Linked DNA regions of Nothobranchius furzeri. The protein of the gene in region 1 purifies or fractionates together with the protein of each later gene. This does not show direct contact. Links are inferred from orthologs where the notes say so. Each region holds a gene or a part of one and is shown in the gene's direction. Other genes may lie near its edges.

Evidence for each region.
Region 2: the proteins of tfdp1a (region 1) and transcription factor E2F3 purify together in Homo sapiens (affinity purification with mass spectrometry; 3 studies listed by BioGRID and IntAct, with this or other methods). This does not show direct contact. The link is inferred for Nothobranchius furzeri from reciprocal best matches to the Homo sapiens genes TFDP1 and E2F3.
Region 3: the proteins of tfdp1a (region 1) and protein max purify together in Homo sapiens (affinity purification with mass spectrometry; 5 studies listed by BioGRID and IntAct, with this or other methods). This does not show direct contact. The link is inferred for Nothobranchius furzeri from reciprocal best matches to the Homo sapiens genes TFDP1 and MAX.
Region 4: the proteins of tfdp1a (region 1) and e2f2 purify together in Homo sapiens (affinity purification with mass spectrometry; 3 studies listed by BioGRID and IntAct, with this or other methods). This does not show direct contact. The link is inferred for Nothobranchius furzeri from reciprocal best matches to the Homo sapiens genes TFDP1 and E2F2.

Annotation. Positions count from the first base shown.
Region 1 is NC_091754.1:25,781,104-25,788,247, forward strand, and holds the end of tfdp1a (transcription factor Dp-1), read left to right. Parts: intron 1-1,218; exon of another isoform or gene 1,219-1,343; intron 1,344-1,624; exon of another isoform or gene 1,625-1,771; intron 1,772-2,093; 5' UTR 2,094-2,166; coding exon 2,167-2,178; intron 2,179-2,442; coding exon 2,443-2,509; intron 2,510-2,689; coding exon 2,690-2,811; intron 2,812-3,150; coding exon 3,151-3,272; intron 3,273-3,361; coding exon 3,362-3,527; intron 3,528-3,612; coding exon 3,613-3,759; intron 3,760-3,839; coding exon 3,840-3,908; intron 3,909-3,988; coding exon 3,989-4,140; intron 4,141-4,219; coding exon 4,220-4,386; intron 4,387-4,685; coding exon 4,686-4,764; intron 4,765-4,841; coding exon 4,842-4,980; 3' UTR 4,981-5,192; downstream 5,193-7,144. UniProt on the Homo sapiens protein: Can stimulate E2F-dependent transcription.
Region 2 is NC_091745.1:42,332,359-42,340,651, forward strand, and holds the start of transcription factor E2F3, read left to right. Parts: upstream 1-2,964; 5' UTR 2,965-3,160; coding exon 3,161-3,442; intron 3,443-3,554; exon of another isoform or gene 3,555-3,737; coding exon of another isoform or gene 3,738-3,749; intron 3,750-5,659; coding exon 5,660-5,774; intron 5,775-8,293.
Region 3 is NC_091758.1:33,253,319-33,260,830, reverse strand, and holds the end of protein max, read left to right. Parts: intron 1-2,073; coding exon 2,074-2,181; intron 2,182-3,914; coding exon 3,915-4,038; intron 4,039-4,127; coding exon 4,128-4,312; 3' UTR 4,313-5,268; downstream 5,269-7,512. Other genes in the region: ras-related protein Rab-15, read left to right, coding at 6,002-6,140. UniProt on the Homo sapiens protein: Transcription regulator. Forms a sequence-specific DNA-binding protein complex with MYC or MAD which recognizes the core sequence 5'-CAC[GA]TG-3'. The MYC:MAX complex is a transcriptional activator, whereas the MAD:MAX complex is a repressor.
Region 4 is NC_091758.1:28,056,638-28,065,084, forward strand, and holds the start of e2f2 (transcription factor E2F2), read left to right. Parts: upstream 1-3,264; 5' UTR 3,265-3,513; intron 3,514-3,703; 5' UTR 3,704-3,758; coding exon 3,759-4,022; intron 4,023-8,447. UniProt on the Homo sapiens protein: Transcription activator that binds DNA cooperatively with DP proteins through the E2 recognition site, 5'-TTTC[CG]CGC-3' found in the promoter region of a number of genes whose products are involved in cell cycle regulation or in DNA replication.

The DNA of each region.
Region 1 (7,144 bases):
GCAGACCAGAGCTCATATACAAGTGTTTAAACGGCCTTTATGTCTTGGTCGACATGAAAAAGTGTTGATATCACACGAAGCTAACAATGGTAAACTTTCTCGATGACAGCTGGTAGTTAGCTTGCTGGCTAGCTAGTGGGCTAACAAAGCGCTGGAGGTTGCGATTTCTCATTGATATCGAGTTAGCTCGTAGCTTTGATAACCAGTTGCTAACTAGCGAAGTGTTGATCATCGATCTACTTAACGATCTTGTCATGGTTTCTATTACCACGGTTATAACTTACTAAACAGAATATGCAACAGGACTTGTTTAAATAGTCCGCAGACATGAAGTTTGAAATATGTAACTCATCTGAATGTAGAAAGAGCTTTCACTTTCTTTTACTGTAACGAATTAAAATAAACAAATTTTATTTGTTTAAGCCACATATTCATTTAAATAAAAATTTAAAGCGTGATTAATTGGCTTGAAACATTTCAATGAAGTTTTTAACTTTTTCAAAAGTGTACTTTTTGCACAAAAAGCTAAAATATCGATTAATTAGATTTGTTTTGTTCTGATTTACTAGGTTGTTGTGACCAAGAGGCCCATGAATGAGATCAAAACTACTGAGAACGTTTAAGAGAATGTGATCAGTTGTAGCAGATAATTGCGGAATCCCAAAATATAAAATTACTTTACATTTGTATAACTTGTTTATTTCCGATTAACATTATATATTAAATTTGCTATTTCAACTGATTCCTTTTGCAGGCCCAGGTCCCTGAATTAATGGTGTCAATATAGTTTTTTATTCACTTCTTTGACTTAATTACTTTAATATGAACTCCTTTTAGAAGAAATGTAGATCAAATCTATGGGCTTGATCCACACATTATGTTGTATGTTTATTAAATTGAAATGTAGTACCTGTTAACATACTGTTGTTTATTTACCATAATATGCAGTTTTAAAATGTTAGGTTTAATTTAACTTGAAAACTGGTTAGTGCATTATATTCATGACAAAAATGTTGTACAGCTCATTTTGCTTGCTTTTGTGATCAGTTTCTCTGATGAGATGAATGATGTTTAATGGTTAGTCAGCTGCCAGACTCGACCAACAGGCAAATCCTGGTATCAGTTTTTGACATAGCGACAAAAAACTGACCTGAGGAAAAACAACTCTTTAATCATATGCTTAAGTTCTTTAAAGGAATAACTTTGATTTATGAATAAAATAGTTTTAAAAGTACATTAGGATTGCTGAGTTTGTTTCCTGTTTGGATGGGATTTAGACCTCCTCTTCCTCCATTCTCTAATGCCAACAACAACAGCCGTCGAAGAGACAAGAGAGTGCACTCGTAAGTGCACGGATTCGCAATTTAAACCCCTCTAATCGTGCAAAACGCGCAGTGCTTTTTTCCAATATCAGTTCTTACTTAAAGAAGGCTATAATCTGCAGCTCGGACCAGAAATCTCTGAATTTTCTGCCAATCGTGTGAAAACGTGCATAAGCTAACTAGCAAGCTAAGGAGCAGCAGGCTGTTAGCAGTAACGGTTAGCCGGCTGTAGTCAACAAAAGATTGTTCATTATTACTGACATGTGGTGTGAAACCTGCTTCTGTGGTGGACTGATTTACTATCTGTAACTATATTTTAATCTCCGTGGAGAAAAATCAACAGTTTCGTCAAAGTTGGCACGTTTTCGTGACCTGTAGCAGAAGTTGGACGATGCCTCTCCTCCGGACGTGATCGGTACCTGAAGTAGGCCTTGTGCACACATAGCTTGGTAAAAGTTGTGGGCATCAAGTGAGGGTTGACTGTGCTTTTTTGTGTTTACATCTAAAGGCTAATGACGCAGCGGTTTGTACAATTAGCTGTAATTTCCGCCAGGTTTGTTTTGCTAACTGAGGAAAAAGTGGAGTAAACATGATGATGGAATTAGCTTAGTGTAGTGTGCTGTGCTCATAGCCAACCATTGAAATGGGCCTGGGTTCATAAATGAGTGCAAAAGCTCATTCAAATCCATCTGTGCCGTGGGGATTTATAGGAAAATGTTATAAATAAGTGAAGCTTGAAACTTTTGCTCACAGCTTTCATTTCTTCTGCAGGGGTCTGAACACTTGAGTGACAGAAGGAACAATTTTTTAATCTGAACTAAACTCCTTCAGGTCCTTTGGGATCATGGCTAAAGATGTGAGTAATTTCCCTCAATATTTTCATCCATATGCACATTATATCTTGTAGCCAGATGAGATGGTTCTTGTTGTTTTAGCATACCTATTATTCTAAACCATCATTAATGTTTGACAATAAACCCAAATTGCAAAATGATCCAATTACCCATTTGGTGTAATTTAAGGAGATATGCACACTTAAGCATCCATTATTGCATCACTACTATCTTATATTATTTTTAATATTCTATATTTGCAGCATAATGAGTTTTGTCTTTTACAGGCTGGTTTGATTGAAACAAATGGAGAGCTGAAGGTTTTCATCGATCAGAATCTGAGCCCTAGCAAAGGTATAACTGAACCATCTTTTGACTTTGTTTTTGTTATTTTCTCCCAGTTTACACAATCTATTTGCACTGACCACCAATCCTGCAAAAATATCGGTAGAACCGATTAAAAGTGAACTATGGGGCTTTGAAGTTTCAACCAGGAGTTTTCCTCATTACCGATGTTCTTGTGTCTTCTCTCAGGTGTCCTGTCCTTGGTTACTGTCCAGCCTACAGCTGTCCCCGGGGCCAAGCAGCTACTACCCAAAACCCTTGGGCCGTCTAACGTTAATGTTGCCACACACATGCAACATTTGCCACACATGGTGAGTGCGTGTGCTCTGTCTGACACTTTTCCAGAACGGTTACATATGTCCTGCATGCTGCTTTTGTCCACACCTCCTTGCTGTTGTGTAAGCCCCCTCCCATTACTGCTGGGAGGTGGAGGCACTTGATCCTAAGCTTATCAACTCTACAGTCAGCAGGATTACACCCATCATCTCATTATGTAGAAGAAATGTATACACAACGGAAATCAGCTTACAGATCACCTGTCTCCTACATCAGATTATTATTAATTTGGGACAAATTGTTGCTTTGATCATTCATCAGATGTATTTGCACGCACGTTATTGTCTTACTGTCTCATCCTCTGCTCTCTTTAGGTTATTGGAACCCCTCAGAGGCCAACAGTATCAAATACTATTTTAGTAAACAGTCCACACACACCAAGTTCTCAGTTCCTCACTCAGAGTCAACCCGCTGATGCTTCTCCTTGGTCATCAGGGTAAGACCTCGAATAGTTCAGTCGTTTTTATTTCTTTTACTTTACACAAGTTTTAGAAGCAAACTATGTGTAACTTGTTCTGTAAACAGAAAACGGGGTAAGAAGGGGGAGAAGAATGGGAAAGGCTTGAGGCATTTCTCCATGAAAGTGTGTGAGAAGGTGCAGAAGAAGGGAGTGACCACCTACAATGAGGTGGCAGACGAGCTGGTGGCAGAATTCAGTTCTTCAGACAACCACATGTCGCCGAATGACTCGGTGAGCGCTGCAGCTTTTATTTTACACACAAAACTCAGAGACGTTTTTTTTTTTTTAACGCTGACCCACGTGTTTTCCATCCCAGCACGTATACGACCAGAAGAACATTCGGCGGCGTGTTTACGATGCGCTGAACGTGCTCATGGCCATGAACATCATCTCGAAAGAGAAGAAAGAAATCAAGTGGATCGGCTTGCCCACTAACTCGGCTCAGGAGTGCCAAAATTTAGAGGTGGAGATTCAAATCAAAGGCTTTTGTCTTCTTTTTACGTAACAAGCCGTTCTGAACAACTATCTCCGTCATGCCTCCAGGTGGAGAGACAACGGCGACTGGAGAGGATTAAGCAGAAACAGTCACAGCTTCAGGAGCTCATACTTCAGGTGGGAATGGCGATAGAGCTTCACCAACACCTCAGCGATTAAAGATGCATTTGTCTGATTAAATGTTTTATATTTTACAGCAAATAGCCTTTAAGAACCTCGTTCAGAGGAACCGACAGACAGAGCAGCAAGCAAACAGGCCCCCGCCTCCTAACTCCATCATCCACCTTCCCTTCATAATAGTCAACACTAGCAAGAAGACGGTGATCGACTGCAGCATCTCTAATGACAAGTACGTGATCATCTGCGTACATTCGAACTGGAGAATTTTAGCCCCAATTTATTGTGCGTCTTTTTTTCTCCGTCTCCAGGTTCGAGTATTTGTTCAATTTCGACAGCATGTTTGAGATCCACGATGACATCGAGGTGCTGAAGCGCATGGGCATGGCCTGTGGTCTGGAGGTGGGGAAGTGTTCAGCAGAGGACCTGAAGGTGGCACGCAGCCTGGTGCCCAAAGCTCTGGAGCCTTACGTTATCGGTTCGTACGTCATGGTGTAAACGGCCAGGGTTTTTGTTGATGCTTCAGGACAACGTTGAGATGTTGTCTCTTTTAGAGCCTGATATGTGTTTAGGGACCTCCTCCCCTCAGTAATCCTGGGGTAAAGGAGCTTTTTCTGGTTGCAGGAAGCCCTCCCTCTGTCCCGAAGCTGCAGTAATAGTTAGGAAAGGTCTAAACATGTCAAGCAGCATGTTGCAGGTTCTGACACGTACAGTGAAGCGTCTGTGTTCACTCAGGAACGATTGGACGTCTACATTAAATATGGTTCCTTCTCACAGAGATGGCGAAAGGTCCCATCAGTAACGTGTACATCACAGGAGGATCCTCAGCCAACGGCGCTCGTTACACTGCCAGCAGGTAGGAAGTCGTACCTAAGATGGGAACGTTTCCCGTTTCAACCTGGTCCCTTTTTAACCCGGTTTCTCCGTTTCTAGTGACGGCTGCACCGACGGCACCATGGCGTCCAGCTCCAACGACTCTCACTACAGCGGCTCTCGCGTGGAGACCCCGGTGTCTTACATGGGGGACGACGATGATGAGGATGAATACGAGGAGAACGACGATGAAGACTAACCGCGCTACATGTCCCCACTCCAACAAGCACAGTCCTCCAAACAGCAGTCACAGCGGCGATCTGGTCCCTTTTAGTGTGTGTGTGCTTCCTTCCCAAGCCCCCCCCCGTCCACGCTCGTGTTTCTGTCTGGTCTTCTCAGGGGTGTAGATGAATTCTGAAAGAACAGAGGAGTTGTTTGTTTATATTTTCCTGTTTATTTGTTGTTTCCACCCCCCCGCTGACTCACATGCTCCTGCACCACACCTACGATCTGCGGGAACCGTCGTCTGTGATCCTTTTTCAACAAGCCATCCCACTCTCCGCTCTCTGTAAAAGCTGTTGCTGTTGGAGAATGTAAAGTGTATTTGTTTGAATAGTTATTATTTTACTGTCACGATGGATATTATGATCAAAATGTTCCGTTAATGTCTGCTGTGTTAGCGCGCCGTGGATCCTGATGGCTGTTGGGGCGGTTTGAAATAGTTTCTTATTCCCATTGCGTTGGGTTGGCTTCCGTATGTTTCGTAGGCAGCTGCTTTCTGATCTTGTTAGTATGTTTTTTTTTTTTTTTTTGTATTCTGGAGTTGAGAAGCTGTCCCATCACCACCCTGTTGACGCCTTTGGTAGTGTTTACAAATAAACGGCTGAAGCGAGGTAAAGCTCCTAGGTAATTCAGCTTTGTTAATTACATATAAATCCTACCACCATTGTAGCTCATAGTGTCCTTTAGAGGCCAGTGGTGAAGATAGACCATCGCGATTTATTGACGTAACAAAAATGTGTGGTTGTATAGGTCTTTGTGTAATCCCTTCAAAGATCGCCCTTTTAAAACTGAGACACATGTACTGACTCTTCCAAATACTTTTTCTGTAATCTAATATAAGTTTGCAAATTAAAAATATAGATTGTTTTAATAAGTCTGTATTTACGGTTTGTGTACATCATCATCAGCAGGTCATGAAGGACTAGTCTCATCTTTGGACAAGTTATTATAAAGTCGTGTGAATGAGAAGAGCTTCCACCCATTTTTCATATTTAAAGATGTGGTTCACTGAAAACCTAATCTGTCACTTTGAGATTTTCATACAGGCTGAACATTAAAACAGTCTCCTAGAAAATAGATGGTGAAGTGCTAGGATTTGAAGATCCTCACATCTATGGCCTCACCCATCTTGGCGCCCACAGGAAGGCTGTTTTTTCTTTTTTTTGCAGCGAGGAGAGCGGAGAGTGGCCAAGGCTCAGTACTCGCACTTCCACACTTGCACCCTTCAAATGTGTGATCCCAGCCAGGGGTGGGAGTGTTTAGGGTGTCCCGATTTTCAAGTGCAGAATGATGCACACTTCACTGAAGTCTGCTTCGATGCTGACTTGGGTGAAGGGTATTTACCCATAATCCATTGCTGCGGGAGAAAAGGCTCAAGTGCCTTTTCTGAAAAAATGCATTTTCAAATAAAAGTAGTTAATTTTAGGACGTTTAACTGATGCTCTGAATGTTCAAGACAAATCGGTAATGAATGTAAATTTATTTCAAAGAATTGTTTGTTTAAAGTTATTAAAGTTTTTTTTTATTTGCACAGCGACCTGCATCCCGGCATGCTTTGCAGTCGATGACGCAACGCTCCCTGTCCCAATTCGGCAGTTATTTGCTTGTGTACCAGTCAAACCCTACTGCACACTTCCTCCAATTGCACTTGACAGAAGACTGTAGGGCGCAGTGCGAGTATTGGGATTAGGCTAGTGTCTTGGTGATGGTGACTTTGCAACATGGCTGAACACTTTCGCTAATCAGAAGCGAGGTGTGTGCATATCATTAATAATAAGTAATCTTGCTGTTTTCTGCACCAGCAAACTTCTGCATCTCAGAACAGGATCATCATAGCTTTATTTTTTTAATGACTTTTTAATAAACCACACCATTATCTGTTTTTAGGTGGAGCATAGTTCACTCTTCTGAAGATCCAAATAAGTAAATAGTACATTTTATTATGTAATATTTCAGATTTTTATTCACCAAGAATGTTTCTGAAGAGCCTAAGCTATTTGGCTAATTCTGCATCAATCACATTTTAACTCAAGATCTGTAGAATGAACAAAGTTAAAGACATTTTTGCACAAATTTAAACAATTCCAGGGGTTTTAGCAGGTCACCTCCAGGTTAGTTTTAAACATCAGCAGAAAGCTCCT
Region 2 (8,293 bases), on another chromosome or scaffold:
AACATCTATGCCACATTATGTCTTTTAAATTACTAAGCTTATAGCATCTAGGTGGCCAATTCTTGCAGAACATATTTCTAAGATTAAATTAAGAGTTAAAAGTTGTCCATATTTATGTTAGACTGCTCTAACATAAATACATAATCGAATGGAAGGTTATTAAAGCTTTATTTGAGAGTGATTTGGAAACTGTGTTTCTTCTACTTCATTTTGTTATTTTAAAATCAAGCAATTACATTTTACATCAATTTTGCCCTTTAAACCACATCATTTAATTCAAATAATTGAAAATTTTCATTTATCTGATTAAAAAATTTCATCAAAAGAAAAATTCAGCTGTTGAGATCATTTAGTCTGTATTTCAGTGGACTTTTTTAACAAAATTTTATTTTTTTGCATTTGTTTTTATCATATTTGTTTCAGTATTTTATAAATTCATTGTGGAATCAAAAAACATTCATGCTTTTTCTGTTAAAAAAGGACATTTTGCTTAAAATCAGCATCTGCATTAATGTCTAAGTGTGTTTATTAGATATAATTGGGTATGTATTGGTGTTTGAACTTATATTTTTGACTGACATGCTTGAATAGACGCTATTAACCTATGCTGGCTAAAATGTAAATGACCATATTCATTTTGCATTACCTATTATTAATTTAATTAAGAGTAAAATCCCTCTAACTGTGGATGTAGTTGCGCCTTGTTGCCACCAGAGGGGGTATGGTCTGATATGTTTGTGGTGATGTTAGCTAGCTGCTAATAGCTCCTGTTTTAGCTCACTGATTTAATCTTGTTGAACACAGATAATTAACATAGATTTATTGAGTTTTAGTAGTTAAGTAGTTTGTATAATTGAAACCATTCTGGTTTGTTTGTTATTTAGACTAACTACGCTGTTAACATTAACTGAAGCCCCAATGTATTTTAGATGTTATGTTTTATTTTGAAAGATTCAACAGGAAGTGATAATGAGTAGTGTTTTGTTTAGCTTGATGAACATTCCCTGTAGTAACAGCTTTGTCCACTAGAGGGTAAGAAACCCATCTCCAAAACCAGATTTCTCCTGTTTCCATCCTAGTCACGTGATCCCAGGAACTCTATAGGCTCAATATGTGGCTATCAATCAAAAAAAAAATTTAAACTTGAACACAAGTATTTAAATTAAAAGTTTGTTTTTTAAAAAGTAAACACTTTTCTTCACGTCTGGCTTTTTCAATTTTGTCCTTTTGTTGTATTTGGTTTAATTTTAGTTAGTTGATGTTTACACATTTATTGTGAAATCCAAACAAATTAGTGCTTTTCCTGTTCATTACAAAATACGGACCTTTAAAAATAAATTTTAAAAAAATCTGTATCAATTTCTGTTTATTAGATGCCGTTGGGTTTTTATTGGTCTTTACCAATAACTTTACCAGCATACGTTTTATAGTTTCTGATCAAACATATCAGATATAAAACTGTTAGTTTTTCGTTTAACTAAATATATTAAAGTTATATTACCTATTAATTTTATTTTATTTATTAAAAGTAAAATCCCTCTGTCGTGGATGTAGTGTCGCCCTGTGGCCGCCAGAAGGCGTATGATCTGATATGTTTGTTGTGCTGGTAGCTAGCTCCTAATAGTTTCTGCTTTAGCTCCTCGATTTGATCTTGTTGAAAAGATTTTAGTTTTAGTAGGTACGTAGTTTGTATAAGTGATGACGTTCTGTCTTCCCCGTTATTTAGACGAACTATGCTGTTAACGCAAATTTGAAAAGTGTAGTAATTTTTAATGATACGTTTTATTTTGAAGGAATCTACAAGAAGTGTTAATGTCTAATGTTTTGTTTAGCTTTATGAACAATACCTGTAGTGACGGTTTACGTCCGCTAGAGGGCGGAAAATTCTTAATCTCGAAATCCAGACATAAAGGATTGCTTTAACTTTGCGTCCCAATCATCGACATACATATATCCCAATCCCAATGCTCCCGTTGTTCCTGTTCACCACTGCACACAACAGTTGTGTTTAACACTAATACATGAATATGTTTTAACAGTTTTTTAGCTAAATGAAAAGCGTAAAAAGACCCTGTTGCTAACGGCAACACACATTTTATTTTTGAACGAATTTACAGGAAGTGTTTCTACTAACTATTGTAAGTTTGGTTGAACAGTTCTATGTTAATCCCTAAAATTCACAAAATGATTATAAAAAACTAGGAGCTTTTACAGCTTCAATGACATAAGGAGGGTAACAACTATTGTCTTAGACCATTTGACATTTTCATACCTGCCACTGAGACACACCAGCGTTTTAATGTTGTTCAGAAAGCTGTGTTTTACTATTCATTTAGGCTCTTGGGTCGTGCCCTCCATCTTTTCCACGATGTCATTATTTGTAGGGGGAGCTGGTTGTGTCTTACTTATACAGTATTTGTTCTGTTTTGAATTGAACCAAATCATGAAGTAGTTCGGTCTTTCGTTAGTTTATTAGTATATTTGTTTCCTGCTTCATTGATTAATCTGAAATGATTTAATTATCATATATGTCGAATTTCTTCTTAACTAATCTTCAGTGAAAGCAGTTAAGATTTCAGTGAAACAGCATTTATTAAACCTTTGTCACCTGGAATAATTTTGTTTTTTGCTGTTCATGAAGGCTTTTAGTTGCATTTTTCTCTATAACTTGATAACTTCCGCCACCTGGCGTTCTTTCCGGAAACACGCAGCCTGTGAAGAGTGACGTTGCCTGTTTACAACTGCCAATGAGCACGTGTCGAACTGTTTCCTGATCTGCCATTGGTCAGTACGCATCAACTAAGGGCGGGGGCTCATGTTTGAAGACCCAATAGCGTCTAACATGTATATTCCGTTTGAAATTTCCCCGGGAAATCTGAGTTTCGCGGGAGGGCTCTTGAGCGCGTAAACCGTATCCCTTCATTCATCAGGCCGTTTCCTGAAGCCATTTCTAGACGGCAGATACGAGAGTTGCGCTACTTTTAAATCCGTTGCATCTGCCTAAATGCACTTTCTTAATGAAAAATACCTTTTAAAAGCCGATCATTCAGACTTTAATCTTCACTTCAGTCTGATTATTGTTGTAGTCACGACGACGGATTAGCAGCCACGAAGCCTCGAAAGTTCAGAGACAAGAAAGGGGTTACCCCGAGAACGCAAGATGAGAAGAGGGATCTCCTCGGCTCCGGACAAAGTGATTTTAGCGGGCGTCGGGGGCTCTTCTCTGGACAATAACATCATTTTAACAGCCCTCTCGGATCGTTTAAACCCCGGTCAATCCAGTACTACGTATATTCAGATAATAACCACACCACCGCCTTGTAACGTTACACAGACATCAAATGTGTGTTTATCCGAGCCTCAGCTCAGTAACATTTACTCAACTCCCCAACAAGCTGCAGCAAACGGAACAGGACAGCGACCCGCTCTGGGAAGACCTCCGGTAAAAACCCACACGGCAATAATTCACACATTTAGTCCGACAACATGTTAGCCTGCTAAGTTAGCCGAGCTTGTTGTTCGGGCTGCTAACGCTAGCTACTTAGCCAGGGCATTCCCACACGACTCAACCCACTGAAGCTGACTAAAATGGGTTGGTTACCCGGGTAGTTAACTGCGGGGAAGGCAGCGAACTGGTTAAAGTGTAATTTAAGCGTTATAGACATACAGACGTCCCGTTTACTAGCGAGCTAGGCAACTTCGTGGTGCTTTAAGGTTCGCTTCACCTTTGCAGCCAGATGGAAATATCGGTAAGGGATGAGTAACGTTAGCGTTGGCCTAGTAGCTGATGTTCTTTATTTGGGGTTGGTGGGGTTGTTCCCTCGCCTGCCCCCTTTAATGGCTCGTTTTTAGGCTTTCTAGCGAGATGAGAGCCGAGCCTGCATAAAACACGGGTTTGTGCGTAGATGCAACTTCTCCTCAGTTCAGAAAGTTCTCGGTGGATCAAGTCGTCCCTGAAGATGCAACTTGCATCTAGCGTAAAAGTGTTTTAGCATCTAAGGCTTACTAATGTGGAGCAACTAAACCCATCCAGGTTTATGTTCTGCAGAGTTGTCGCTGCTTTACGTGCTTCTCTTTGTTTATAAAGTCACGTTTCTCTGCCAACTAAAGTGAAACTCAAGGTGCTTGCTCTGGAGGTGATTGCACGTTTCCTGTGTTCTCTACATGCACAAACCACATTGTGCATTAAGGTTCGAGCTGCATGTGATTCTTTCTTTTATGAACTAAACCAGTTTGTGTCAGGCTGTGGCCATGGCCAGCAGAGAGGGGGTGAGGGGATCTGCCTGCTGAGAGAAAATGGCTGACACTGGCTCTCCCTCCTCCCAGTCTTCTGCTAAATATGACTAAAATGTTAATGTGAGGAGATGTTGATGTTTTCTGAAGGCAAAATGATTTGTGACTGCATACCAACAGATTTATTTCACTCTGATTGCACGTGGTTGCTTTAAGACACAACTGTGTGGGTTGTTGCAGTAGCAGCACACCTTCATTCTAAGGTTATGAATTTAATTGGGATCAGATGTGGGAGACGTGCAGGAGAAAGGGCTCCTCTGCAGCCCAGCTGCATGTGAAGATGAAGTGGAAGAGGGCAGATATTACAAAGCTGATCCTGCTGGGGAATGTGAATACTTCTGCCATTGGGCCACTTTAAGAGTTGAATGCTGCAGGTTTAGTTCCTGCTATGTGGCAATAACCTGGATTGCTTTTTTTTTTTTACCATTTTGATCCACTTAAAGAAGAAAGATGAATTCCGAATAATACTTTGTCATTCATACATAGATGACATCACTTGACCATATGGAAAACCTCCTATAAAGCTTAACATGTCTGTAGAAGGCACAGTCCATGTTTGGGATATTTAACTTTACATTTAAGAGTTAACATTCATGGACTCGCCCACCTTTACTCACGACGGGGAAGGCTGTTGGTTTAGCGTCCAGGAAACGGCATAGAACGTCTCAATTAGTAGAAGCTAACCATTAGTTGCTCCACCACGCAGCAGAACTCCTCCAGGCTTGAGTTATTTGTGGAGATTAAAGGTTGGTTTATGCTTGACGCATCCGCGAGGTCCGCACGGCTCTGCGCGGAAAAGTTGCGTCATTTTAACAACCACGGCCTTCCACAGCGCCTCCGCACGGCCCAGAATTTCCGCAACGCGCACCTCGGAAAATTTCTAACCACGCGGACGGACGGATGCGGAAAAACATGGCGGACCGGCAAGAACTAGTATGGCAGAGGTTCGTAAATACAGACATTTGTATGATTCAGCTCTCCGAGATCACCGTGATCAACATGTAGTTAATAATTCTTGGAGAGAAATAGCTCGCACTGTCGGAAAAGACGAGGACGCTGTTAAAAATGCTGAAATGCCATGTTGTAAACAGTAATTTCTACTTCTACTATGGTGTAGTGTTGGATGCATGCCGTAGAGCTCCATGCTGCCCCCTACAGTTTGGGAGAATATTGGCTCACCACAGAGACAAGCCGCACAAACCATAAACGCTGCGAGTTGTGAAACGCGTTCCATCCGCGAGCCGCATCACCGCGCGGAAAGTGAATGCGTCAAGTATAAACCAAGCTTAAGCATCAGCGTTCCTACTAGAGACCACTGTCAGTATTAAAACTATGAGTAAATTCCTGTTGGTGTGCTTCTTATAAGGCAAAAAGGCGGTTGGCTCTTGATGATTCGGACCACCAGTACCAGCCAGAACCAGCCAAAACTCCACGAGGAAGAGGAGCAGCAGCCAACGGGACACGGATAAAGACGCCAAGAAGTAAGGCTCGGGCACTTGGAGCTATTTGTCACTATAGAGGTTGTTGTGGCTGTTTAGGGGATTGTGAAAACTCAACTAATCAGTAATTTTCCATTTATTTAATAAACCAGATCAAAAGCGATGCGCCCTCCAAACAGCATTTCTGGTTTTGCTGGACCTCCTGTGGGCGCTTTAACGCACACATCTGTTAATTTTATCCCAGGGTTTCAGCTACAGGGTAGACCCTGTACACGCGTAGCTGGGTGTCTCGCCAAACAAAGGTACTTTTCTACGTTTTGGCCCATTGTCCACACAAAAGTGAAGATGAACACAACCAAACGCGATAAAAAAAAAAAAACTCCCACCAAAGTGGAGATTTGTGAATTTTGGGATTTGCTCTGATGTGCTTGCACCCACTCACTTGTTTTTGCAAGCTCAGTTTCTGCTCTAGAAGACCACAGGTGAAAGACCACGTTGAGGACGGTTATTGCGGTATAGACGGATGTTGAACTTTTTACTACGGGCCAACCGGTCGCGCTTGCTGGCGAGGAGCGAGACAGTTTAGAGCTTCACCCACTTTAGCGTTAACGTTGTCAATCTGTGTCAGCTCTATGGTATTTGATATAGCGCCTTCTAGCATCCTGGAACCCCCCAAGGCGCTTTACATCACTATCATTCACACACACACATTCACACCGGTGAGGATGAGCTATGATGTAGCCACAGCTGCCCTGGGGGCAAATGACAGGCGAGGCTGCCGAGCACAGGCGCCACCGGTCCCTCCGACCACCACCAGCAGGCAGTGGGGGTTAAGTGTCTTGCCCAAGGACACAACGTCAGCGTCAGACTGACAGCTCAAACCTGCAACCTTCCGGTTACGGGGCGAGCACCTAACTCCTGTGCCACCGTCACGCGTGGATGAAACGTGCTCGTAAACAACTCTGAGTAATGTCGGTTACACGCACCTGGTCAGTAAAATATGCCAGGTGAGAGTGAAGTCTTATCAGCGTTAAAAGCTCGTTAACGCCAAATCTCTTAAATGCCGTTTGTTTTTTGACATGATGAACACTTAAGGCTTTGTTGACATCTCCTGTGATTTTCACCCACAGTCCTCCCTAATTTTAGCTGTTTGTCCCTTTGGGTCAGGGATGGGGAACCCGGGTCCATCGAGGGCCGCTATCCAGCTGGAGCAAAGACATGCAGGACACCGGCCCTCGAGGACCAGGGTTCCCCACGCCTGCGTTGGTAAGATAGATCTAGTCTCCGCTCTGAGCTGGTGCGCACCACGGTGGGTCAGACCGGCATGGATAAGCTGATCTGAGCGCAGCTTAACAAAAGCGAAAGAAATTGGATAAACCTCCTAGATTATTGTGATATTGACAAAAAAAAAAATGCAGCAGAGCATTCAGTTATTCAAACTCCTGAAGTAAAAATAACTGCACTGTTGGTTCTTTTTTTTTAAACACAGAAAAGTTTTCTTTTTACCTTGCTGACGGTTTCGTTCGCGGCTGCAAACGCAACATATTCTCACACCCAAAGCGTCAAAATATGACGCGCCTGACCAAGCCTCAATATATGACGATTCGGGATGCCCTAGCGCATCAAGGTCACAGTTACTGACCTTAAGGTTAGGATTGGGGTGAGGGGAAAGTTAAAATAATGTCCGTGTGACCGCGGGCGTCAAACAGTGACGCCAGCGGAGCCACGTGTCCCTGATCGTCGTGTCCCTGATCGTCGTCTCCTGACGCGCTGGGGCGTCCCGAATCGTCATATATTGATGCTTGGTCAGACGCGTCATATTTTGACGCTTTGGTTGTGAGAATGTGTTGGCAAACGTCCTCAGAGCGTCAGCTGCAAACGAAACTGTCAGCAAGGTAAAAAGAAACCTTTTCTGTGTTTTAAAAAAGAAGCAACAATGCAGTTAGAAAAGCAACACAGCAAGAACGTACCAAAGATATAAAAATAACTTCTATGGGCAAAAAACATGAAAAATGAATCAGGAAATCAGAAAGAAATGTTTGTGTTTTTACGTTTTTCACTTGAGTTCACACCATTTAGAATGTTGTTTTCTTCGCATTTAGCTTGTATTTTATTTAAAATATCTTCATCTTTATTAATTTATGATAATTTTTGATGCGTAGTTTGAAAAAAGAACCTAAACATTTTTATTTATTTCAATAAGTTATGAAATTTAAATGTAGTTTATAATTATTTATACAGATTTTTATTCTGTACTCTTTAGGATTATTTGCTCTGCTATTCATCTGGTACGTGAGATTGTTCAAAAACATTGTTGCATGTATAAACAGAAGAAAATATATGGCGGTATTTGTTATCGCATGTGCTTCAGAATTTATCACGATATAGATTTTAGGCCATATTCCTACCTCCTAGCTGTTCCACATCCAAGCAATGTCTTTCGTCAAGGACGATTCCAAAGATTTGGGGAGCTGGTGCCACCTACAGGCTTGGCAGGGCAATGAACGTGCCGAAAACAAGATGGCAAGGGTGGAGATTCAGTTTTACAAAAACCCAGCTCC
Region 3 (7,512 bases), on another chromosome or scaffold:
ACGCAACTGAAGTGATCGAAACTGAAAACGAGATACTAGACGAACAGCAGAGCTAAGCTGTTGCTGTAAGGAAGGTCAGCTCGGCGAAACATTTAAATATGTTTCCCTTTAAACAAAATGTTTCATGTTTTCCCCCAATCGTGTTTTAAACTCTGCTTTGCGAGCGTTTCATTAAAAAAAACTACATATGAGGTTGATCCATACACGTCACCATACTAACCAGGCCTGTTAAGCACTGGTCACAACCGTTTCTGTAATGCGTGTTTCATTTAAAATCGGACATAAGATTACAATCGCCTGTCTTATTTTCTTGGCTACAACCTCTTTAAACTGGATAGGCATGAAGAACTCGATGTTCTCTTTGACCCATTTGGTATCTCACGTATCATCCGACCTCTCTACACACTGGCTGGCGTCGCTCGATCTCCATTAAAGCTGCACGAATGTAAAATGCATCATGGCTTTAAAAATACATATGTGGAGGATATGAATTGATTTGACCGAGCAGACAGTAGATTCATTTAGACTTTGCAGGACAGAAACGTGCACAAAGCTTTGTCAGAGTGGGAAATTATGCTAAAATCCCATTTTTGCTAGGGGTTGTTCTTTCCCCACATTTGTTTGAGTTGCAGCTTTAGATCCTTATGCAGCTGCCGGAAGCGTGCACTTGTTGACAAGTTGAGCCCTTATTGTTGAAGCAATTTAACAAGTGTACACAATAAATTCATGTTGACAGAGTTGTGTGCTAATGTCTTTTCTAATGCCGCTGGATCATGGGGGCAAATAAATCATAATCACAATTTTTTTTTGGTCAATATTAAACAAACTGTTACTTAACACAATTACTCAATGGTATTTATTGTCAGAGACACCACAAGAAATTAAAACAAGAGCATCACATAATTTCCAGACTGCTACGTTATTCATTATGATCTGTTTTGTGTGCTTCTAATCGAATCAACCGATATGGGTTTTCTGTTGCCGATACCGACATACCACAGCAGATGGCCGATATGTGCTGCCATTTGTTTTACAGATTTTCACTTCTGATGACTAGACGTTTTCTGCCTTATTGCATGCTAAATTAACACTAATTTGAGACTACCTGCTAGCAGTAGCTTAGCTGAGTTTAGCAGAGTTGAAGGAAAGAAGCTGTTTAGGCAGGAAAAGGCATCTGTGTAGCAGTCATACTGACCCAAGGATGTGCCTGTTTTTAAATTGGCTCACTAAAGAGGCAAATTGGGCCAATAGTTACCATTTTTTCTATATCAGCCAATGAAACGGTATTGCAAAAGAACGGTAAAGTCAGCCTGATAAATTGGCTTATCCCTAGTTTCCCTAGAAGTTTTCTGGCCATGTAAAACCTAAAATATTTAGGCTGTTTAGTGGTGAAATAAACAAACATTTCTGAGTGCTTAATAAAACAGAGAAAAGCTGCTGAAGAACCTTGGATGTACAAGCACTGACGGAGGACACAAAAAGTTGTTTTTGTTTCCAAGAATTGTTGATGCTTGGAAATAGAGCCATATGTGGAAATATATCACAAACATATCACAAAACTGCATATTGAGATCGTAATTGAAAATTACTTGAGGCATATTGTTTGATAGGCTTAAAATGTGTGTGTTTATTCTTGTTTTGATTTTTAATTGACCACAACATGCACAAGTTTAGCCATGAGAGGAAGTGTGAGTGAGTGATCTGGCAGGAAAGACCAAATGAAAGCATCCTTGCAAACATTTTTATTGATGATTCATTTGTTGTTGAGTTTTGAATATAAACTGTATTAGTCCTGGTCGTTTTTTAATATTGAATTATTTATAAACAAATAAAGACTCATGAAACACCCATTCATTTCCCTGCATTCACTCCACACACACACCGTCAGCTAGACAACGACCTGTGTGCTGTTTGTTTATTTGAATGCAAATAAGGATTGAGATGATATTGTAAGGCCAGAGTAACGGAGTCCAGCAAATATGAGTACATTTTCATGGGATCTGTTTTGTTTTGATTTTACAAAATGTCTGAATTATAAAATTGTTTACTCTTTTTTTTTTTTTTTTTTTGCAGGCAGACAAACGAGCACATCACAATGCGCTGGAGCGCAAACGGAGGGACCACATCAAGGATAGCTTTCATGGTTTAAGAGATTCTGTGCCTTCATTACAAGGGGAGAAGGTAAGGGGAAGTGAATTCACAGTGTGAAGAAAATAATTATATTATTTGTTAGCAATCTGTAGCTATTTTTCACATTTGATGTGTGATTTCATTTTTTTTTTTTATTATTATTGGGATTGCATGTAGTATCTGAGTAATCCTTTTGTAGACAGAAATCAAAGTTATTTCAGTTTGTAGAATTAGGGAAACATGAGCTCACAGTTGAGAAGTTAAATACTAAAACTCACCCCAGTGAGTGCAGCGACTTACCGGACACTTACCCCAAAATTCCACTACCTCCGCTCCGGCACGAACTCTGCAGCAAAATCGGTCCCGTTGTAGTCAATCAGAGCTGTTCCACTACTGCGGCTGTGCGGCGCAGTGCGCCGCCCACCGTTCCGCCATCCGGCAAAAATAGGATCAATTCTATTTTTGACGGACGCCGGAGCACCTCCGCAGTCGATGGACAGAAATCACAACCGCCCAACAGGAAAGGGTGCAAGCACAGCTTCCATTATTTCACAATAAATCAATAACAAAAAGCGTTTTTTGTTTCATATGCACAGGTTTAACAACTTTTAACAACTATCAATGGCGGCAGAACTTTAAATGCACAAAAATGAGCCATAAATATAGTTTCCACTATCAAAGTAGTCACACTTAGTTGATCCAAACACTGCTGATCTGTCAACACAAATGATGGGCAGATTAAACAGTTCATTTCGATGCTTCTCCCACACAACGGGTGTTTGGATATAACTTCTGCGTTTATTGCTCGGACTGTATCGCAAGATCTCGAAAATCCCGCGCATGCCTGTTTGCCCACCTCAGGTCTCCGCACCGGAGCGGAGCCGTTGTAGAGCGGGTACCAGTAAAAATTGAGTTCGGAAGCGAGCGGCTGCAGAAGGCGGGGGCGGAGCGGAGGTAGTGGAATTTTGGGGTTAGGTGTTGCGTAACGTCTGCTAAGCATAGCACGCAGCTAATAGTCATTGTTATAGTCGATGGGTGTGTTTCCAGCGGCTGCAAAGTGGTGAATTTTGCACACGTCCCAGAAGCATAGTGTTCCGTTGCTCTTCTACGTTCACACCTCGAGTTTATTTTTATGCGCTGTTCTTCCAGATTGCGTCAAGTTCAGTTGTTCAGATTGAGTCGGACAGGAAATCAAACACAGGAGCCGTGTAAAACATCTGGAAACTTTCAAACTAAAAGCCACATGCAGATTTCCCATTGTTTTTCTAGGTAAGAAAAGTATGCCATTAAGTTTGACGCCTCCATAGCTGAAGTAAACAGAACAGCTACTTTAACTGCCAAGATCTTGCAATTCTCCCGAGGCACCATGACCTCGCGGGACCAGCTGTGTGGTACGCTTTCACTGCTGTTTGGCGTCTGAAGAGCTTCCTGTGGGAAGTGACGCATCGCTGAGCTTGCATTTCGCACCCAAGTTAGAAAAAAATCAGTTTAATACATTTTTCATGAAATGATGTCACTTTTGCATCAGATGCTTATTTATGCTGAAGCCTTGTCTTTTTTAAACACACCGCAGTTCATTCCAGTGCAATACTCAACAGTTTGTTTTAAAGCCTCATGTAATGGTAACAAGGTAGAAAACTACACAACATTCCCTTGAACAGACATCCATCTTCCCTGTGATGTTCTGGATTTGCGTGCGTCTCGATGCATTTGTTATATTTTGCATTAAGCAAAACGACTACAAAGTTGTCGCATGGCTCTAAGACATTGTTCTTCCTCAACAGGCTTCACGAGCACAGATATTAGACAAAGCTACAGAGTACATCCAGTTCATGAGGAGAAAAAATCACACCCACCAGCAGGACATTGATGATTTAAAGAAGCAGAACGCACTGCTGGAGCAACAAGGTAATGGGAGCAATCCCTAATCGAACACATTCACACAGTAACTGTAACGTTTTACTACACTTTCTGTTTTCATTGCTGATCCCTTTAAGTTCGTGCACTGGAGAAGGCCAAAGGGAACACTCAACTCCAGACAAACTACTCTTCTGACAGCAGCTTGTACAAAAACCGCAAAGGAAGCGCAGTGTCCGCATTTGACGGCGGGTCCGACTCCACCTCCGAATCGGAGCCAGAGGAGCCGCCCAGCAGAAAGAAGCTGCGTGTGGAGGCCAGTTAAACTCCGGTGCCCCCCAGACTCTTTGCATCCACCAGCTCCAGCATCTCTGACCTGTCTTCTTATGCTCCTAACTTCTTAAATCAGTCCAAGACACAAGAAGGAGACAGTGTGTTAGGTGCTGTTACTGTTTTATTAAAACGCTTCTACCTTGTTGTTTCCTCCTGTTTTTGTGACCCAGCAATGACTTTTATTATCCCCAAAGTGAGGCAGCTCAGCAGTTTTTGAAGGACTTGATGCTTTTGAAACCTTGTGATAACATGTTCATGAAATGACACGTGAGCCTTTAGTAAAGCTACAAAACAACTTTTGCAGTTTGTTGAATTGTGAGATTTTAACACCTTTTATGGAATGATAATTGAAAGAATTAGTGTTTTTAATATTCATATAAAAATGTGAATTTGTTTTCAGTAAACATGCCTGGAATGCAAGGTGTGCCCTCCTTTTTGATGTAGGTGACTGAAGTTTTTGACTTTGAGAACTTACTTGAATCACATAAAATCCCCCTTTTCTCCCCATTATATAGTCTATCCATATGGCTGATCTCTATACTGATTTACAAGAGGATTTTCACAGCTTTTGAATAGTTATTCAGAGTTTATACATGTGGTTATGTTTAAAAAAATCACTTAATTGATACTGAATGTTACACAATGAAGTTATAGGACAGTGACTTTAATTTTTGTTCATGGAAGTCCATTTCAGTGTGTAGTATATAACACTGTATACTCCCCAGTGGTGTCAGTTCTGCAATGAAAAGCCTTCCCTTGAAATATTTGCCTGCGCTGGGAATGTTGATCTTAAAAGTTTAAAAAAAAATGTGTGTATGTAATAAATATTTGTTCCATTCCATGGAAATTACAGGTATGTTGTACATACTGCCAATGGTTGTCTTGCAAGTTAAGGCATACCTTTATTATGAGATTATAAATAAAACTATTTTATCCTTTTTGGATGTATTCATGGCTCAGTGTGTATTTTATTAGTTATTTTTGTCACTCTGAAAATGTGTCAAAATTACATAAATGTTTCAGGAAAAGTTTATGATTCAGCAAAAATGTGTTTGCATTGTTTTTCGTAGTTTGTGCTGGAAAGTTAATTTTGTTTTAGCCTTTTCCCTCTACTTTGGAGATGCTTGCATATCCCAGAGTTGTCTTTTTTCCTTCAAATTATTGTAAAAAATAGCTGCCTGGAAGAACTATATTTGTATCAGGTCAAGTGAATATCCACTTAACCATTAGAAAAATGAAATTTCAAATATTTACTTTCTTGGACTGGTAAAACTTCATTCTTATACATTTTCACTTTTTTTTTTTTTTACATAAAATGTAATATTTGTAGTTGAAATGTTACCATTTCCCCTAAACTGACAGGAAGCAAGTAATTGGTTAAAAGATGCTGATTTCCGTGCTGCCTTTGTATTTATGTGGATTTTGTAAGTTACATAAAAATAGACCCCTTGAAAACTCGTCAACAACTAAGAGTTTGAAATAAGAAAATATATGAGAGTATATCTATAAAAAAATGGAGCAAAAATTGTATGAAGAACATGTTTTATCTTCTTTAACCCACTACTTCAGAGCTTGAAGAGGGATTGTCTGAGGGACAGTGAACGCAGCATCAGATCAGAAGACCTGTCAGAAGCTGAGAAGAAAGTCATGCTCTGTGATATATTTTAGGTTTTGGGGGGTCATGGCGAAGCAGTACGATATTTTATTCCGGCTGCTCATTCTCGGAGACTCTGGGGTCGGAAAGACGTGCATGTTACGCAGGTTCACGGACGGAGAATTTGATCCTTCGCATATTTCTACAATCGGTAAGAAGCCCTCAGGCAAGTTTTAGGCGCCGACTGAACTTTTACGCGTCAGCTGTTAGCAAAAACTGACGTGAAAATGTATATTTGTTTATTTTCCCAACAGTTTAATTAGATGTCCTGTTTAAAATACAATTTTCATTTTCTAAACCTAAAAATGAAATGTGTTTACCACAGGAAAATCCCCGTTTCTGGTCTTTTTTAATGATTATTCCCACAAATCCCACTTATGTGGATTGATGAACACATGAGCACCAGCCCCTTTCCTGTTTCCTGGATCAGTGACTTGGGACGTGGTTAGCTATAATTTGTAGATTTAGTTTTTTTCTTTCAAGAGTTTGTTTTTATCAGCATGGGCACAGTTTAACATGGGACTACAGAACATGAAATAATGATGCCCAATAATTATTTTCTGCTTAGCCCGTTTATTTCTGCTCCAGGAAGCAGGAGACATGCAGAGCATGTGGTGCCAAGCTGTCAGAAGGGCTTTGTGTCTTCCATTAATTACTGAGGAAAAGCTGGAGGCTGCAATTCTTCTTTTGTTCTTCAGGGTAGGCAGAAAATGATCAGCATCTCGGTCCTGATTATTGTTTCTGACTTTATATTATATTATATTATATTATATTATATTATATTATATTATATTATATTACATTATATAAAGAGTTTTAAGAAAGAAGAAACTCAGTAACTCGCAGCACTCGGACTAGCCAGTCGTTCAGGGGTCAGAGCTAATCTCCGTTTCTCTAAACTGAAGCCATTCAAAGGCCTACAGCATGCATGAGTTGTTCATGACCTTTCTGTAGAAAGTTACTTCAGATTTAAAGATGATGTTGTTGTACAGTAATTTTAATAGCTCCACAATCTAAAGCAGCTTCACATCTATTAAATAACTTATTGCTCGATAAAATCTCAGCAGAAATGAAGTTTTTCAGGATTTGCCGTTTTAATGATGAAAAACTGGAACGTTTTTATATTTTCTTCAGCATGATAGGTAGTTTTCATCATTATTCACAAATTTGTATTTAATAAATAACTATTGGTACCACTGTGCAAAAGTCTTCATCCGCCTCTCATATATTTAAACTGTGTTATAAATTTAATTGGTCTCAATCTGAAGTTCCTCAGCATTTCAGGCGTGGTTTCTGTTTTTAGACGAAGGCTTTTGCACACGTGCCCACTCCAGCATCCCACAGTGAGGTTTTATGTGTTTCAGAGTAAACCCTTAGCTGTGGTGTGAGAACAATGACCAGCCTTTGTTTGAACACAAACCAGTATTTCTGCAGCTCCTGCTGTTCACTCACATTTCTCAACTTCCTTCCACTGTTACCAAGCAGAAAATCCCTCCCACACTTTATTCTACATCAGCTGCACCCCCTCTTTTTGTGCA
Region 4 (8,447 bases), on another chromosome or scaffold:
TTGTTTAATCGTACTGTCTGCATGGTTTCATGATCAAAAACAAAAAAGTGCGCAAATAAATCAAATTAGAGAAAAACAAAGTTAAGACACTTACAGTATAAGGTGTAAAATCATCAAATTCTCAACTCACCACAAGATGGGGGTGTTGGATCTGGATGCAACAAAATGTGCTTCACTGACATGCAGGGATTGCAAACACACTTCACACACGATGCTTTGAAAGTTGGTTTGAAGTAATGCAGGAAAAACAGCATTCATGCCTATAAGTGAAATATCAGTGGAGTATATGTGCAGCACTTTCAATCTTTGATGAATTAGTGACCAAAACATTTGAAAATATTATTTAGATAATCAAATATCAATTTTCTCTCAACAGCGTCTACCTTCAAATCCTATTGTGATACTCAAGTCAGTGTACAAAGTTAGGACTTGAACTTGGACTAAGACTTGCAAATGTGGTGTACAACCATTTGACTTTTTCAACATGTTCAGAGAGAGTCCACATGTAAAGCACATTTTGGGTTTTTCCTCAAAATCAGAAAAAGCAGGGCCTGATGTATAATATGCAAGAGGACAATAGAAGACAAACCTGGGATAACGCACTGCCCCATGCTATCACCCAGCTAACACAGTAGCATGTGGCAAAATAATACAACATGCTTAAGATAAATTTGAAAACATATAATCGACATTTCACCAGAACACTTACAAACGCTTTTGGAAGTTGCAGTTATCAAATTTGTGCTGTAATCTGACCTAATATAACAAGCTAGCATTAGCATCAGCTACACGCCAATTCTGGTAATTTCACTTACATTGCTGCATGTAAATGTCACGTTGTGTATGGCTGATACTTGGGAAACGTAGAAATTGAAATGGAAACTGCAAAAAGCTGCTTGTGATAGAAAAGAGGGATGGAGAAGATTTTGGATCAAATTATGAAAATTCATTTGCCAGCCAACTGCAAAAACAGGGCTCATTTAAAAGTATACCAAAGGATCTTTTTCTTCCGGGTGGATCACCTGAACCATTAGTCCGCTTAACTGTCAATCATTCTGGTGAATCATTCATGCAAGGCCGTCGTCATACGTTGCCGGGTAGTTTTCTCTTCCTGCGCAAAGCGAAGGTTGGGATCCCCACAGAGGCCTCGGTCGAAGGTTTTCTGCTCGACAGGTAAGCTGAAGTTCAGCATAATATTTGGAGAAATTCATTTCAGTTTACTGCTAGAAGAAGTTGGCTGCAAGGCCGGCAGCTACTTATAACGAGGATAACTGGGCTTTCTTTCTCATGTGCATTTTTTTTTCCCAAAATGAGGAGTGGGCGGTTCTTGCCTGAAATTCAGAAACATCCTCCGCTATACCTTTAAAGTGACAATGTGAATTTTCTCTGGTGATGGGTGGCAGTACGTACATAAATCATTGCAAGCATGCTGTATTTTTGTGTTTGAGTAAGACCTTACTGACGGATTTTGTCCTCACTGGCTCCTCCTGTCACAGGAAACATGGCGTACAACATGGCGTCACCCAGAGACTTAGACCCAATTCCAAACTTCCCACTGCACCCTGCGGTCTTCAGCAAAGTGCACTAGGAAGAAGTGCACAGTAAGTCTTTGAGTGTGTAGTACACAGGTGTGCAAATAATTGCCAAATTGGGACAGCGACCATTGCATCATCGACCATGAGGCATGCAGGGATGCCAGTGGCAGGTATTGCTACTTTAAAAAAAAAATCTTTATTAATCCATAAGGACCCATGGTGTCACAACCAATTTCAAACATCTGCAAAATTGCTTCTTGAGTCAAATATTCAAGTTTGAAAACCCCAAGTGACATTCTATCCATACATGTATTAAAATATTTTTTACATGTTTATTTTATTTAATTTTTTTAATGTATTTATTCCAGTCTTTTTTCTAATTCAAAAGGGGTTGGGTTCTAACTTTCAAACAAACAATTGACAAAATTTACATTCATTGTTGTTCACATTAAATCTTAGTCTAAAATTTTCAGAGCATAAATAAATATTAATTGTCTTAAAATGAACTTTTGTTTGAAAATTCAAATTTTCAGAAAAGGCACTTTGTTCCATTGTTCAGCCTTCTTCTCAACATTCCCACTCAGCATTGATGCGCACTTAGGGAAAGTGCGGATCAAGGGTGCAAAAGGGGCATGATCAACTTCCGCACTTGAGGATCGGGACACCCTATGCCTCATGCCCCTGGACTGGAACACACAATTGAAGGATGCAAGGGTGGAAATGTGAGTATTGGGATCGGGCCGTAGACCCGCTCCTACGTATTTTTGTACCAATTTTTATGGTTATATGTTACAAAGCTGTCAATATTTTTCAACACCATGTCAGCTACAATTTTTCCACTTTCACTTGTTGACGATTTCAAGTCAAAGTGGTCTCATTTTTTTTTTTAAATACACAATTCATTTATAAAGACCCCATCAAAGTTTTAGAAATGACCCTTGTTTGGAATTTAGCCCAGATGAAGTGATGACAAAGGACTAAGAGTCTACTTTGTCTTGTCCAATGAGGGTCAAGTCATATGGCTTGGATTGTCTGGCTGTGAATGTGGGGGAGGGAGTGTTTTCTTTCAATATCTCTTGCAACCAATAAGCAAGAGTGGTCCTGGGTGAATCCAGTTATCACTGACAGACTCACAGCAGCACCTTATAGCTGGCCATACTATACTCTCATCATATAAGAAATAATAAAACTAAATTTCCATGTGTTTTTTTAAGTATAAACTTTTTTACCTTTAAATCCCCCTTTTTGTACATTACTTTTATTATGAGTAACAAACTGCACTAAAAAGCAACTTTTTTCTTAATGAGTGTATGACTGGATATAGGTTATTATTAAATATGTATATTAATCTTAAGCTAAATGTTATAAGTGCTTTCTTAGCATTTATAAATGCTTTCTTTCTGAGTTCATCCATGCATCATGCATTTAAAGCAAATGTTGAAATGATAAATACAACTTTTGTTCAATAAATCAGCCTATATGTTTGAAATTCTTTTATTGCAATAAGAAAATGATGTAAAAATGTGTTTTTTATATTAATACATTTGAACAGGACACGATATTTTGATTTCTCTTTGTCTTCAAGTTCATCCTCACCAGAAACCCCTCTTGTCGCACTGACGGTCCTGTCTCTTTAAGAGCACCAGCCCCTGCTCTGCACAACTGTTCCATGCAAATGTGACAAGCCGAACGTGCCGGTAGCCAATCAGAGGCGAGCTCTAACCGCGGGAGATCCAAATTTCGCGGGACGGAGTTTGGCGCTAAAAAAGACTGCTGTTCCCCAGCTCTTGTTCCCTTGTATGGAGAGAGGAGCCGTGAAGCGGACGGACAGCGGTCTCGAACTGGGTCGTGTTCTGCTCCAGACGGAGTCTCTGTTCCAAACCCGATCCTGAAGACACTCGGAGAAATATCTGCTCTTCCTTACACCGGATGTTTTAAATACTTTACCTATATAGGAAGCGTTATTTATTTATAACCGGTAAGGCACCTTTTCAGTATACTTTATGGCAGGATAAATGACTAAATTGATGACTATTATTAAAAGACGTGTTTATTAGAAGCTACTGACGTGCATTTTTAAGGTTATTTTAACAGCTCGTACTTGTTATTGTTCTGACGTAGCAGCTAGCTTAGTAGCACAACAACTCATCTCTGTGCTCTGCTCGCAGCTCCCGTCTCTCCTAACCGGACCAGCCCGGGTCACGTTTAGTTTTACTCGGGAACATGATGCGGATGCCTAAAGGCGTCTCTCCAGCCCCACCAGCGGGACTCTCCTGCTCTCAGCAGCAGCAGAAGCTGAAGGTTTTGTCCAAGTCGGACTTCTTCTGCACCGGACTGTCCAGCCCACCGATGAGCTCCATCATACCAGCCGGCTACTTCACCCAGATCTGTAACACCGCCGCGGCGGAACAAAGAGCCAACAGCCTGTACTCAACCCCCCACGGACCCGAGGCGAAGCCCATCAGATCATCCTCCGGGCGGCTGCCGGTACATAATCAAACACACCCTGCAGAACAGTGTTTTACACACGGTTTAATAAGCGATCTGTTGTGTTCAGGGAGCTGTGTGCGTGTGGGAGGAATAACAATTAGACTTAGCATTCATATATGATAAGCCAACAGAGCGGCCAGTGTGACTGCAGCAGCAGCTAGTGGAACTGAATGGAGGGCTTCTGTTTCTCCTGTAAAATAAAAAAAAATGTGACGACACATCTTTGTTTCCCCTCTGGAGGCCAGCATGCCTTTGATGGGTTTTAAGAGGGAGGCAACATGTTAAAGTGTAGGGGTCCGTGTGCAAAATCTAGTGTTTATTGATGCAATCCCACTTTTGAGCATCTGCACCTTTGCTTAAGCTGCAGATCTTGCTAAAGGGGTCAAAGGTCAAAGCAAAGATTCCTATAATTGATGACTATAGAAGACACAACCACACTTTGCTTTTCTTCTATTTTGCTGGTGTAAATCTTTCAGGCTTGTTTATCGAGTGTGAGCGGGGTCTTCTGATCTCATGTTGACGGTGACACTGTGACCACTAATTGGCCCCTCAAGAGGATTAAAAAGACAGTGCAATAGACTACCACCTGGCTCATCGTATGCTAAGGTGAACTGTGCCAGACCAGCCTGGATGTGTGTTAGGGATTTTTGCATCTCTTAGCAGTGTTTGCACATTTTTTTTAAAGTTCTGGACGTCCCGGATTCACATGAATGGAGTGAACCCGTATTTCGGGGAAGAAAATCTTGATGGATATTCTGTTATGGGTAGGGAATCGTGGGCCGAAACACGTCCAACTTGTTCACTTTGTAAAAGAATGCAACTGCATGACTAATAGTTCAGTTTTTATTTCCAGTATCTTCCCTCACATGGATGCAGAAAGTATTTATTGATGCATTAAAACACACCTCAAAAGGTTTGCAGAAACAAAAATCACATCTTACTTGTGTTTTTGAACACGGCTGCAGGAAAGCGTTCAGTTCATCGATTCTTTGGAAGAGACTGGTTGTCTTTACAGTCTCGCTGACTCGGCAGCTTTCTTGCATGCTCAGTTAGGCTTCAATGATTACAGGAAGCGTTCCTGTTCAAATGCATCTCACTTCCCTCAAGAGTAACAACCACCACTTCTTTTTGTGGCGTTTTGACAAGCAAAGTCCACCTAAAAACCTTCAAAAACAGGCCAGACCAGCAGGCAGATGCTGAAGACTCCTAAATATGCTCCTTTATGTGTAATCCAGACTGACTGAGCATCGTCCATGAGCTTGTGAGGGTTTGTAGACTGTTGGAATTCCAGATCTTCCCTGAAATTAATGAATGTTTGGGATCAGACTGACTTAAATTCTCTGGAGCCAAACATTGGTTCCTCTCTACAATAAAAGCCAGAAATGATTTTCCTTTTTATTTGTTATGTAAATCTCATACAAAATGTGTAAAAATTGACATCAAGTTTATTTTTACATCTTGTAAAGACAAATCGCCTCCCTAGAACGAGGTGAGACGACCAACTGTATGCAGTCTTCAATCATTCTGCTTGTTTCACCCACCACTCCCTTAAGCCGGGCTGCGTTCTGCTCAAGAGGGAGTTTTGCATTTCAAATCCCCCCACCCCCCACCCTCCTATCAGCAACCCAAACACAGACCCGCCCTTCCTCATAGAGGAGCCATATTGACCATCAACAAAGTAGCACCTTTATGTTTAAGCTGCCGTTGAGGGTGAGGTAGATCTCCGTAGGCATCCTGTAACTTGTCCTGGTCTGACCGGTTGGGTTTGTTGGCTTGATCAGACGTGTGTGTGTGCGTGAGTGTGTGAGAGACACACCGGTGGAGTCATATCTACTGCAGATTTGGGTTGATTTTCATGCTAAAATGTCACTAATAACATCAGTTGATGCACACAATTTCTGAAGCAGAATCCGTTTTTGAACTAACTGTTAAACCTTCACTTTGTGCACTGGTCAGTGTTAAAGTCAGACAGCTAAATAGTTAATGTAGAGTATTTATTATGCAAATGTTATTAGTGGACGTTAAAATACGTTGAAATGAAATTCTGCAGCAGCACCGGGGTGCCCAAGAATGGGCCTAACTTTAAATCGGCTCTACAAAGGACGAGTTTAAAGGACATGTTTAAAAAAACTGTAAATATCAGCCCGATATATTGGTCTAGGCCTACTAAGCAGTATAGCTGCAGGGTGAAATGGTTGGTTGCCTTCTCACCACGCGTGTGCGCCTCCAGATGTTCTAAATATGTTGACTTGGTTCTGATGGCTATGCAGTTTTAAAGACACGGTTCAGACATTTGACATTTGATTAGAGATAATTAAAGGTGGGATAGATGTTGTTTTATTAATTTTTTTGCTGTTCAAGCAAGCTACATTTTGAAAATAAACATTCCAAAGGTCCAACCCCTTTCCCCTAAGCCACACCTCCAGAACACAGGAATGTGCAATGCTTGTTGTATATAATCGCCAAATCACGACAAGAGTCGTCTCAAGGTACTTCACACAGTAAACATTCCGGTACAGGTCAGTTCATTAAGCCAATCAGAAAAAAGTTTCCTATATAAGGAACCCAGCAAATTGCATCAAGTCACTGACTAGTGTCATACTAAGCAAGCATGTAGCGAAAGCGGAGAGGAAAACTCCCTTTTAACAGGAAGAAACCTCCAGAGAATCCTGGCTCAGTATAAGCAGCCATCCACCATGACTCACTGGGGATGGAGAAGACCGAGCACACACACACACACACACACACACACACACACACACACACACACACACACACACACACACACACACACACATACCAAGTAATGTGTCTATGGTCACATTGTGATTTCTTAGTAAATATTCTATTTAGTGAGAGATGAACTTTATTGTATCTATCCCAGTAAATCCATAATTAAACAAGTAAACTAGTAGTAGCACATTTGTCAGGAGAGGAAGAATGTTGAAGTGGTTAGCTATTAACAGATGTGTGGTGCAAGAGAAAAATAATGAGTGAATAACCTTTTTTTGTCATTATACCCTATGGGGTAGATTAATACTAGAGTCATTACTTACTCCTGACCAATCAAAGTCACAGAGCCAGACCCTAAGCCCACCCCTCTCTAACCTAAACAAACTAAGGCCCAATCCCAATACTTGCACTGTGCCCTATGGTCTTCAGCAAAGCACACTAGGAGGAGGTGCGTAGTAAGGCTTCAAGTACAAAGTACACAAGTGTGCAAAGTATTGCCGAACTGGGACAGGAAGCACTGCGTCATTGACCGCAACGCAGGTCGCTGTGCTACTTTAGAAAAAAAATCTTTCTAACAACTTTCAAACAAAAAAACCAAACAATTATTTGACAAAATGGACATTCACTTCTGTGCACATTGAATCTTTGTCTAAAACATTCGAAGCATCAGTTAATCGTCCAAAGATGAACTGCTTTCAGTTGAAAATACATATATTCAGAAATGGGTGCTTGAGCCTTTGCTCCCGCAGCAGTGGATTGTGGGTAATACCCTTCACCAAAATCCACATTGATGTGAACTTGGGTGAAGTGCGGATCAAGGGTGCAAAATGGGCGTGGTCAAATTTTGCACTTGAGAATCGGGACACCCTACGCACTCACGCCCCTGGACGGGACCGTGCAATTGAAAGGGTGCGAGGGTGGAAGTGTGAGTATTGAGATTGGGCCTTCATGTGACTAAAACCAGATGTAGCACAGAGGACAGGTGGTGGGAAAAAGTTTACAGTAGTTCATCAGCTCGCTAATGCTGAGACGAGTCTGATAAAAACCAACCACCAGGTCTGGTAAAACTACCTGTTTTATCATAAATGATGAGAGAAAATGGCCAGAGCTGCACTTCAAATAGATTTTCTACATTTTTAGTTGTCAATGATTATTGGTATCATGATGGTCAATATACATTTTTATATAAAACATAACGTCTGAATAATAGTTATAAAACAATGTTTTCGCATAAACGCAGGAGTAGGGACAGGGGCTTAATGTACAATCCATTTTCTTTTCCCTTTGTAGAGGATTGTGGCTGTGTGTGTGATATTCAAATCCACCCTCCACCAACAGCACACACACACTTGCCAAACTGCTCCAGATGTCCCCAGTCAACAGGTGGACATGTCACAGGACACGTTTGGACAATGTGTGGCTTCACTCTCAGGAAGAGGCGCGTCCACACGTGGTGTAGCCTTTCAGAAGTCAGTTGCTCAAACCTTCACCAACTCGGCTCTTTGGGCTCGTGCTTTCACAGAATGGGTCTCTGTTGGTGCTTATCTAGTGTGTGTGTGTGTGTGTGTGTGTGTGTGTGGGGGGGGGGGGGGGGTGTCAAGGATTGAGTCGAAAGGACGTAAACTCGGGTTGTGAATGTGAGGAGAATTACTGATTTACAAACGTCACTGGATTTATCGTAGATTAGCA